Drosophila melanogaster: one gene and its partners. The protein of the gene in region 3 interacts with the protein of the main gene of each other region in a pairwise test. Each region holds a gene or a part of one and is shown on either strand. Other genes may lie near its edges.

Region 1 (4,147 bases), on a different chromosome or scaffold from region 3:
CCAAGTACTCGCTGTGTTCCGCACCTGGAGGCCTTGCGTTGCAACTACCACTCATAATAGGCAATTAGAGCGCTGCTGACCTTACTCTTACTGGCATTGCGTGCGAGGCTGTTGCTTTCAAGTGATTCGATGACTGTTTCCTGCCTGGAACACCGCGTTCAAGGGGAGTTACATCCACAATTACCATATATATATATATATGCATACACTGCCTAAAAGGAGATGATCTCTGTAAATTAGTTATAGAGATTTGTCACTAGTTTGACCGCAAAAATAGATTAGGTAATTCCAAGGTGAGATGAATACCTTGGCGGTTTGAAAGTGTCTAAATTAACGAAACGGCTGCCACATAGATCCTAATGCGAAAAGCAAATATTTAAACAGCCGACTCGTGCAAGTTTGGAGTTCGCAATGAACGGCCCACAGATTAATATAGTGTTAAGTTAACCAGCTATACAAAATTCAGCAAGAAGGCAAAGTAAACAAAACTGAATAATATGATTAATGAGTTTAAGATATTATATTCATTTTCTTATCGGGCATTTTGGCGAAAGGACGATTTATAAATGTTTCATCAACTATATTCTATACTCGCATAGTCATTATTATTGTGTATTATTTGAGGACGATTTATAAATGTTTCATGAACTATATTCTACATTCGCATGGTCATAATTATTGTGTATTATTTAGCAGCTATCAGAAGTACCAAAAGCAAGTTTCTAAAACTTTTGTAATTACTGGGGCTTCTCCCTCGTTCGCTCAGGTCCTCCATTCGTCATCTCTCCCGAAAGTGTTATTCGAGCTCCAATACAAAGAACCGGACTAGTGGCTCCGTGATTCAACACCATTTTTCCACCTCATTCCATTTTGTGGCAGTCGACTCCGGCTTATTCCTTACGGCTTTGGACGCTAGCCAGCTTGGTTGATGGGCCGGCTAATACTGTTCGGCTGTGTCAGCATCTGCAGGTCCGAGCGGAAGCTCCTTGGCAGCCCCGAGATGTCCAGCTGGTGCTTGAGCACCACCATGGTGGCCAGGGTTTTTAGAGTGGGCTCAAAGTCGAGCACATGCAGATCGCTGTAGTCGATAAGCGCCACACCGGGCGGAACAACTCCGCCAGCCGCTGCGGCTCCGCCCGTCTCTTGAGTGGGTGAAACAGCTGCCGGCGAGCTGGAGGAGCCGCTCCTTGGACTGGTGCCGCCAAACAGGAACATCCTAGTGCCCATCACAATGGCGCACTGTCTCCGACGCGCCGTCGGTGCCTTGCCGTTGGCCCGTATCAGGTTCCACAGCTTGGTGCGCGGATCGAAGGTGTACAGATCGTTGAAATGCTGATCCAACAGGCCATTATAGCCACCGAAGACATATATCAGCTTGTTGTAAACGAACATGCTGTGGCTGCGTCGACCAACGGGCACCTTACCGGCCGTGAACGGTCGATGCCACACCTTGGTCTTCATGTCCAGGTAGACGATCTCGTGACAGTAGGTCTCCTCCTGGCTGTGGTACGGACTGTGCTTATCGCCCCGCCCGCCGAAGATGTACATTCGCTCCTGTTCGTAGGCCACCGACGCATGAAAATCTCTGTAGCTGGGCGGCACGCCAAATGTCTGAACATAGCGCCACTCCATGGTGTCCAGATTAAGGGAATGCACATCGCTGCTGAACTCGTTGATCTCATCGACGAATCCACCGAAGATGTACATACTATTGCCAATGACACAGGCCGAGTGACCATCCCGCGCTCCGGGTAGACAGCCAGTGACCTGGGGCCTCGACCACTGCGCTGTCTTGGGATCGAAGCAGTAGAGGGTATTGCAGAGATTCTCGTCGTTGCGACCGCCCCAAATGTAGATGCGATCCTTGTAGGCCACCACCGTGTGTCCGTAGCGCTGGAAGGGCACCAGCGGATACTTGAGTGGCACACCCGCGTCGTCCAGCTGCTGGGGCACCAGAGTCCAGCGCATTGTGTGTGCATTCAGGGCGTGCACATCGATGGGCTCATTGTAGCGATAATCGTATCCGGTGCAGTAGCCACCAAAGCTGTAGATGAAGTCGCCCACGCCCACCGCTGCGTGATTGACCCGCTGTGGCCCACCGTCCAGATGCACCGTCCACAGCATGTCTTGGCCAACTGGATAAGCTGTGCGCTGTGGGCTGCGAGCCGTGTAGCACCAGTGTGCTGTGCGAGGAGACGGAGATCTTTGCTTTGGGCCCAAGCTGCCCGAGCAGCCCAAGCAGCCAAAACACACAAAGGAAAGCAAGTGCGCCGCAGTTGTCGCTCCTTTTGGGAGCGGGGGCAGGGTGGTGCGGGCGCAGGTGCGAGCAATTGAAGGCCACACAGGTATAAACACTGATACCAAGCGCTAGCTGCGCTCCGCTCTGCCAGTTTTGCCAGATGTTGAAACGAAACGAAACGGATCGAATTTTTGAACAACACAAGCACACAGAGTTGCGTGCGTGAGCGGACGCACGAAATAGCAGGGCTCCACTGGGTCGTGCTGTTATCGATATCGATAGTATAGATTTCTGATTGACAATTGCATTTAAAAAATGACAAATTCGAAAATCCAATGTATTTGCATTAAATATTTAGCTATTTTAGCGAAACAGTTGCAATGGCAATGTGCATTTACACTAGATTGATTTTTAAGATGAAGCTCCAAACAATGAATTAGAATATTCTAATGTCTTTGGTCAATTTACCTGAACTTTTTTTCACTCAATCACAAATTCTCATTGAATATTCTTAGTTTTTGCAAGCTTAGTTGCGATATTTATTTACTGTTGTATATATGTGTTTTTATATACGTCAAGTGTTTGTGTGTAAATTAGATTGATTGTAGTACAAAAGTTATAACAAAATAAATAACAAGAAATCATTTAATACAATATTACGCGAACATACATTATATATGATGCAATCTATGCACATTTTGGTTTACGAATAGTGGTCCCCATGTGTCTGGCCACAAAAAAATAAAGGGACGCCGCAGCGGGATTGGTACGAAAATTGGAGGCAAATCAAATGCTACGATTGCAGGGAAGGGGTGGGCGGGGGGGTTGGGGTGTAATGGAGGAAATGGGGTATTCGAAGCCCCGCCTCCTATACATTCGTGGGCGCGTCCATGCCGCAGATAACCGACTTAACCACCGACGCCGCCGAAATGGCAGCGAAGTTTTGCCACTTCCTGGTGGACGTGCCGTCCTTGTAGTCAGCGATGCCCTTCACCAGTATAAAGCTCTCTCTGCAATTGCCAATGATGCTGTCCAGCACGCTGCTCATCTCCACATCGGTGGCCAGTAGGCCGTACTTCCTGGCGAACTGGGTGCGCAGCTCGTCGCTCCTCACCAGATCCCTTCCGGATCCAATGGGACCCAGATGGAGTCGCAACCGATTGACACCGTCCACCTCGTCGGCGGCAATGGGATGGGCCACCTCGATCACCTCGTTATTTCCAATGTTCATAAACAGTTTGTCCGTCCGCGCGTCCGGCCGGTTGAAGTCGGCATCCGTCTTCTGGGCCAACGCCTGTTGGGCCTGGTTCAGGTAGTCCTCCCACGGCCGCTTCACCTGCATGTTGGCCTGCAGGCTCTCGGCGATCTGCTGCAGCGAATCGTTCACCGGGAAGTAGGTCTTCACGTCCTCGCCGCTCTTGTACAAGTACACGTACGGTTTCTCCTTGCTGTGAAGAGCCATACATGAATGCGATTGATAGATTGAAGATTTTATATTCGTGTAACTTACCTATTGCTGATCAGTGCCCGCTGTTTGTCCACATACGAGATGACCACATCGCCCAGTCGCACGTGCTTCTTATAGTCCGTGTAGTGGGGAACGCCACCGGCTACGCCCACGATGAAAACATAGTCGACCTTTTGGAATGTGCCCAACAGACGGGTTGTGGTATTGCCCGTCGCCGTCATCGCCTCCCGATTGCTGCCCACCGACGGGAGCTTGGTGCTCACGATCCTGTGCGCCCCGATATTGCCCAGAGTATACACATTCGATTCGCCTGTGGAGTAGAGAGAAAGTTTGGATCAATTGATTGGCTTACAGAAAGCGGTTTACGTTCAGGACATTGATAGATACATATATACCAAATTATACAAAGAGGAATGAAAAGAACATGAAATAAGGAACAA
Region 2 (3,681 bases), 9.4 Mb from region 3:
CCCGGTGACATGCCCATCGGCATCGCCGTGCAGAAGGGCTTCACGGAGGTCTTGCTCTGGAAATTGGACACTCGGAAACGGCGCATGAAGCGCTGATCGTCTTGAATCTAAGGATATATTGTCATCATTGTGCAGTCCAGAGTTTACTATAAATTCATAGCACTTGGCCTTACCTTAACTTCGAAGCAAAAGTACTTGTGCATGTTCTTTATAAGGAGCACCAGGAAGGGCAACTTGATGCCCAGCTGCTCCTTGCATTCGCTGGGGCAGTGTATGAATGTGGTGGACACATTTGAGCCCATTATCTCGAGCACCAGGGACTTGATGTCCTCATCGTAGATCCGTTTGATATACCCGTTTTTGGTCTGTTACAAGGATGCTTTCTAGAGACGAGGCAGCTGCATTGAATGCCAGATACTCACATAGGAAGACCAGTTGTTCAGGGGCGAACTGCCTACGCTGTAAAGCACGGTAAGGAAACCTTTTTGATAGGCTGCACGATACATTGTCGGTTGTATATTTTGAAACTGTGTGTGTGGTTTCAACGATCAAACTATGGACATGTGACTGAGTTAACACAGCAAACTTAAACGAAATCTAGACTAATTGTAGAATGGATTATAGGTGACCCAGTGGGCGCGCTCCTGGTCCTTTTCGGTTTTATGGGAGGTGAAAAGGGACTTGTAAACATCGCTGGCCTTCGGGTCCTTGGCCACGCTGAAGTCGCTCTTGAGACGCTTCAGTTCGGGATCCTGCATTGCATTAACGGCGCCCAGTCGTTTGACCGGCGCCACCGCCTTGGTTTTTGTGCTTGTAGTGGGCTTCTCTGCGGCTGCAGCCTTGGATGTGGACGCCACTGGCTCCTGTTCCTCTGCGGGCTCCGCTTTCACCTCCACCTTTTTGGCACTCTTCTTGTCCTTTTTGGAGGACTTACGCTTGGCCGCACGCATTTCCATCTTGACCCGCATGAGCTCCATGTCCTCCTCGTTGCCATTGAGGACCACCACGTCCTCAACGCTATAGGCAGCCTGGCACAGCGGACAAGTGCTAGCCACACTGCCTTTGATCTGTTTCAAGGCACGCTCTGATAAAACGCATCCGCAGCTCCAAAGGGCCACAAAGCGAAATTTGCCGGACATCTCCAGGCCAATCAGCTTGCAGATGTAAGGAGAATGTCGTGTGTCCAGCAGTCCCTCAGTTTTGTCCTCCTCGGTGAAGGCGGGATTGGGTGTGGGATTAAGCTGGCGAATGTCCTTCATGCTCTTCACGTGCGCAGCTGTCTCTGGCATCGGTTCCTTCTCCAGCAGTCGCTCAATGACGCTCTGCTTGGAATAGAGCCTACCCATGCCGCACATGGCGATCGGCTCCTGGAGGCTTTGCTGGGTCAAGGTGCAGTGGCGCCAACGGAACTCCCTCTCCGCATCTTTGTCTTTCTGTAGGGTTCGAGAAATGATATTTCGGTCTGGCTAGGAGGTGCTCCAATCGAATAGACTTACCTGCTCTGGCTTTTGCTTCACGCGCACCAGCTCATCGCGCCTGGGAATAGTTCCTCCATCGCAACCCATGATTATATATTTATCTCAAGAATTACAATATATTTCCTGGGAATTCCTTGTTGGGCAAACTATAATATGCGATTTACAATGGGTTATGATATTTTTCAATTGTTTTACATTTTACACGGTATAAGTATCTTACTTACTTTAAATAAACTAACGATATAAATAACTATATATCTTCAGGTTGTAGTAAATGGAGAAATTCTGTTATGAGCAATAACAAATGTTTTATATACACAATGTCCATAGAGATGGTAAAACACCAAACAGCTGTAGCGACTGCAATGACGATTGCAAACATCGATATCATATATTCGATATAAATTTTGGTATATTACGGTGAACCAAACTCTTAGTATATCGAATTTGATTTTTAAATTTTCGAAAACTAAATTTGGAATTTGCAACATTTTAATAATAAACTCCTACTACGTGTAGTAGAAGGTAAGTAATTATTTCTCATTTTTCCTTCATATTTACTAAAATACCCAAAGACCAAAAAAATAATATTACTTGAATTTATTATCGACAGCTTTATCATAGAATTACAAACTACTGAAGACCAGCTCCTACGCATCCGTAAAGGGGCAGTGCTTGGCATACGGCACATCAATGCAAATGCAGCCTCGGGCGCTAAATCAAATATGAAATTGGTTATAAATTATATATATGGTTTTTAATAAACTTACTCATCGGGGGCATCGTTGCCTATGTGGTACTCCCTTATCAGCGAGGCGAACTCGAAGGGATTCACTTTGCCGCTCACTGGCAGCCTCTTGGATCCACTAAGATTCAGGCAGCCATTGGGACACGGTACTCCCATGAACTTATTGTGTTTAAATGTGGCAGTGGCCAAGTAGCAGATGCTCAAGAAGTGCGAACATCGCGATTTTCCTGTTTGATAGAGAGCACATTTATTTATATATGATTTCTTTTTCCGAGAAAGAGGGTATTAAACTACTTTAATTTAGCCTTACTGATTGGATTTCCTTTGCAGAACGGCTGGATGCGTCCACCGTTGACACAGTAGTTTAGATGCCCGGAGTTATCCTCCTGGCCCAGGAAACCGGCATTGGTGTGGAGCACCTGAATGACGTTGGCATCATCGATCGACAACCGAAACTTGTTGCTCTTCATGCGCTCAATTAAAGGCCGGGCGGGATCCAATCCAATGATGCGATACTGTTTCCGCGTCAGGTGGTTGCTGATCATGCCGCAGATGTGGGCGCCCAGGGAGTGACCCACGCAAGTGATCCGTTCCCGGACAGCTCCGTAGTGGGTGAGGAAGGCGTAGATCTGGGCGGTGCATTGCGCAGTTAACCTGGTGTTTATAAGCGAGTGGAGGTAGCATGGATAGCGGGTCAAAGGTCGCCAGTCCACTGTAATGACATTGAAATCGCGGGATAGGTAAGCTAAAAAGAGAGAGTTAAAGTTATATAAATTATAGCTTAATATTGTAGAATATAATAATTTAACAGATAGATGCACTCACCATCTCGAAGGAATTGCAGGTGAATATCTATGGCAGTTCCATTGAATCCGTGTATTATGAAGACAGTCTCGCGGTGCTTGCTAAATCCACCTTTATAAAGCGTTATTGGGTTCTTAACATTTAAAGGAGTTCCACGACGCGGTCCATTGCTGAAAATATTGTAAAAAGCCACTATATAATAATGGAATAGTATTTTGCAGATATCTCTGTTTTCTTTTTTGTGCATACATTTAAATAGAACTATGGAAATTCCATGTGTGTATAAAACCGTAGAAATCTCTCGTGCAGCAAGCACAGATCTGGGCATGCTAACTCTTAACTTTAGTTAATCTTGAAAGATTTTCAATTGAATATCAAGCTAGTAATAATGAAAAATTCATTTAAAGTGGATCAAATTATAGACTTTACAACTATGAGTTAAAATACATCACCAATTACAAGCCAAACGGTTTCCAGAAATTCTTAACGAGACTAAATAGTTGCAGAAAAAGCAATTTGTATTCCTTCGCGGATTTCCCAGAACGGAGGTGTCAGCCCGGTCATTTCCCGCTGTTATACAACCATCAATCAGCAGGCTCGTAAAAGCTGGCCATCATGTAATCCCCCCAGTTGTTAAATTTGTTACCACCG
Region 3 (3,578 bases):
AAATCTAGTGCTGAGCTGGGAAGCGTCCAGTTTAAAACATGCAAGACTGGACTGGAGTTGCTGGAGAAATCCGCTTCGGTTAATCTGCAGGGTAGCAAGTGCAGTTTTGAAAACTGTGCTTTAGGAATCCTGGCCGATGGTTTCGTATTGGGAGAGCAAAGAACAGAGAAGGTCCTGGTTCTAAACAAATTCAGCGAACTTCAGCGGTAAATGAAAATACGTTGTATTTTACATGTTCAAAAATTACCACTTATATCCTTATTTTTTAGTTACAACGAGGACAACTTGCTAGGTAATTGCAGCTTTTACAACTGCAAGAAAAATGTGCGAGTTTTTAACGAATCCGGTCAGCTGCTGGCTCAGCGATCGCATCAACAACTCCTCGAGGACGAACTCGGAGGGGAGAACAAGGAAAATATTCAATTGGTCTAGGGGTACATTGTGTACACATAGTGTTTATAAATTAAAATTTAGCGCTAACCGAAAATCCTATTGATATGCGTCAATAAATAATACGGGCAAACTCCAGTGTCTCGATGTTGCAATTTCGTTGGATGTCCTATTCTCGAAACCTTACATATTGGTTTTAACTCTTGATAAAGTTAGTTAATATATAATATTACACCGTCTCAGAGCGTCTTCCAGAAAATACTTCCTTTAACACATAAATACTCCGAACAATAACCTGAATTTGTTTACAGTAATTTCTTTTAATAAAAACATGTTAATCATTAGTTGGTTAAGCTTTCTGCTTCTGCTCCTGGCCGTAGTACTCGCTGTAATCATACTCCCTGAAGGGCACATCGTATGTTAGGTACCCGGAGTCGCGGGCTTGCTGAACGGCGACCATTAGACGCAGGTGGCTCTTTTGACACAGGCCTGTCTTTGAGTAGCTAAGGACGTCTCCGCTGTGGGGCGATATGAACTGCTCCAGGAGCTCCGTGTTGCGGTAGTCCAGCACCAGGTATTCATCACGGCAAATGGGACAGGGATTTCCGGTGCTGATACGGTTCTGGCGGATGCACGTCTTTCGTGTTTTGCGCGGCGCATACATGCCCTTGTGGTTGCGCCTAAAGAGATTAGATGCGAATGCAATGGAAGTTTTCACGTGTATGCCTTCAGTTCGTCTTACCGATACTGCGTCCACACAAAGTCCTCGCCGTAGGTTTGCTTGTAAGCGGCGCTCTTTAAGTATCGAATCGAGGTCTCCACTGGGATTGGTTTGCTGCGATCCTTCGGGTCTGGTGCGGAACCACTAGCGTTATCCTCGCCTTCGCCTTCGGTGGCAGCCGCATTATTTTCTTCAGTCGAAGTCTCCGCCTTGCATCTCAAGGCGCTGGCCGTGTGAAGAGCTCCCCGGCTATTCCGGGTAATGTTGACCAGTCCAATGTAAATTCCACGTGCAATCGGCAACATTTTAATTGAATAAAACCTGAAGTTACTTCAAAAAATTCAGAGGCGACGTAACAAGGTAAATTCGTGGAGCCGGCGGATCAGCTGTTTTCCGATACATGACTATCGATACATTCAGGGGCGGAACATTTCTCACTAGGGTATTCCCCGAGAAAAGTTTATTTTAATAATTATTAAAGTAATTTTAACTTAAACTTTGACTGTTACTATCTAAAGGCTGCCCATGCTAGAAACATTTTCATAGAATATATAATCTGTTCTATAAAATACTAACCATATTAAAAAGCTTAAAGGATTGAGCAGCTATAGAAGTGTCGGCATTACCCTTAATATATTACAACTCAATTTTTGTATCAAATGTTCAATAACTCTCTTTAAAATAGAAACCAATATAACGCTATTGAAGGTTGCGGTTGTAGTTTTAAATTTCTTAATCATAATTTGCATTTGCTTAACCGTCAAAATTTAAATAATTTTTACAACGACAAAAGGACTAAAGTTACAGACTGTGGCGTTTGAAACCGCTAAATTGAACGGTGAGTAGGGCAACATGGCCGAAACCAAACCCCAAATGGCCTCTCAAACTAACGGTAAAGGCCGACACACACGCTGGCACCCATACACACGCGACTTTGGGGGCATGAATGAAAATGGCTGCGCCGTACGGTTCGGTTTTCCCGTTAGTTTAGTTTCTTTCGGAATTTACTGGTGCAAAGTAGCGATACTATTACTGCAGCTCCCGCGCCCGCGTGTATGTGTGTGCGAGAGTGCGCTGCGTGCGTGTGTGTGTGTGTGTGAGTGAGTGTACGGTGGGGCAACCTTAAATCACGTGCATACAAAAACCGAATGAAAAAAGCACGGCATTTATTTACATTTGGATGCCACCATAAAAAAATAGAGCGCCGACGCCTGGGTTCGGTGTAAATCGACGTTAGTAAATGCCTAACAATTCCTTGCGTGTGCACATGTTTTTGGTCCCAATCAATACTTGGCAGACGGTCATTTAGATTTAATTGTTGCAAGAAATAGGCCTCGAGCAACAACAAATTTTGAGCGCCGACAATAACAAAAGAAACACCGGCGAAGCGGTAAGTAATTTTCGCTTGCCTTAAAAATAGAGCCGATTGCAGGTTTCTTATCAATTTGCGAAAAGTCGCGACAACAAATAAACAGGGCTATAAATACCGCTATGCCAACTACAAATGTTTAAAACAAGAGCGCAGTTGGGGTGGGCAAACAAAAGCTGGTGGCTTTGTCACCCGAAACGAAAAGAGTGGACCTTTTTCGAACCACCTGCCTTTGGAAAACGAAACCAACTTTCCCATTTGGAGTGTCTTTTCGCGCATTTCGTGTAATAAATGGTTCCTTTCCTGCGGCGCCACTACGAAAATCGTGATTATGCTGTGCCAAATTATTACCTGTTGGCTGTGCGACCTTTTCTATGCCTTTCGCTTCCAAACAAATGAATAATAAGCAAGGTGGGCAGCTCGAAGGTCGGATTCTCTGTTTTGGTCAGTTCTTAAATTTTTGAAAAACTTCTAGTGTTCATTGGGTTTTTATTGCAATGGTTTTAAAATCACTTGAAAAACGATGCAAAAAGCAACTCTTATAATTATTCAATTAACCAAGAGTCATCAATTTAATAATATATTTTTATATTTTTGTAATTCTTCCAATGTAAAAGTTAAAGTTGTGTAAGTGCTGCTTAGTTAAAAATAGATTGCTTATAAAAATATATAGACGTTAAAAGACGTCAGATATATATGTATATGATATACGTAAAAGAAACGACCAAACGATATTAGTTCACACCGAACAAACATTTTCATTAAAAATTCTTGCAAGAAGGGAATTTTTGATTTGTTTTTGGTTAGCGGAATAAAACTATATTAACAAACTAGTTGATGGAACCCATTGGTTACAGGGTATCTAGTACAGGCGTGGGCGTCCCTGAAGGCGGCGCCAAAGAACTTAGTTGTCGGCATTCTCACATTCATTTGGGTTTCTCCGGTTAGCACCGCCCACCACCCACAATCGCTACACTTCCACCCACAGCTCCAGGAGTTGGCATGTTTTTTTACACCCGCTATTGTCGAGTAAAGGGTATGCTAGATTCGCTGGGAAGCATGTAACAGGTAAATACAAATTTATCCGACCCTTTGAAG

What was found.
Region 1: the proteins of mRpS18B (region 3) and CG12081 interact in a two-hybrid assay, tested with the Drosophila melanogaster proteins (one large-scale study listed by BioGRID).
Region 2: the proteins of mRpS18B (region 3) and CG6443 interact in a two-hybrid assay, tested with the Drosophila melanogaster proteins (one large-scale study listed by BioGRID).

What each region holds. Positions count from the first base shown.
Region 1 is NC_004354.4:8,587,128-8,591,274, reverse strand, and holds CG12081 (uncharacterized protein), read right to left. Parts: upstream 2,465-4,147; 5' UTR 2,125-2,464; coding exon 913-2,124; 3' UTR 501-912; downstream 1-500. Other genes in the region: CG12065 (uncharacterized protein), read right to left, coding at 3,108-3,687, 3,750-4,017.
Region 2 is NT_033779.5:10,727,124-10,730,804, reverse strand, and holds CG6443 (uncharacterized protein), read right to left. Parts: upstream 1,828-3,681; 5' UTR 1,703-1,827; intron 1,625-1,702; 5' UTR 1,566-1,624; coding exon 1,497-1,565; intron 1,434-1,496; coding exon 603-1,433; 3' UTR 507-602; downstream 1-506. Other genes in the region: CG17118 (uncharacterized protein), read right to left, coding at 1-107, 174-365, 423-506; CG6431 (uncharacterized protein), read right to left, coding at 2,129-2,192, 2,249-2,453, 2,537-2,971, 3,052-3,200.
Region 3 is NT_033779.5:20,095,734-20,099,311, forward strand, and holds mRpS18B (mitochondrial ribosomal protein S18B), read right to left. Parts: upstream 1,521-3,578; 5' UTR 1,417-1,520; coding exon 1,133-1,416; intron 1,071-1,132; coding exon 740-1,070; 3' UTR 596-739; downstream 1-595. Other genes in the region: nesd (nessun dorma), read left to right, coding at 1-206, 270-432.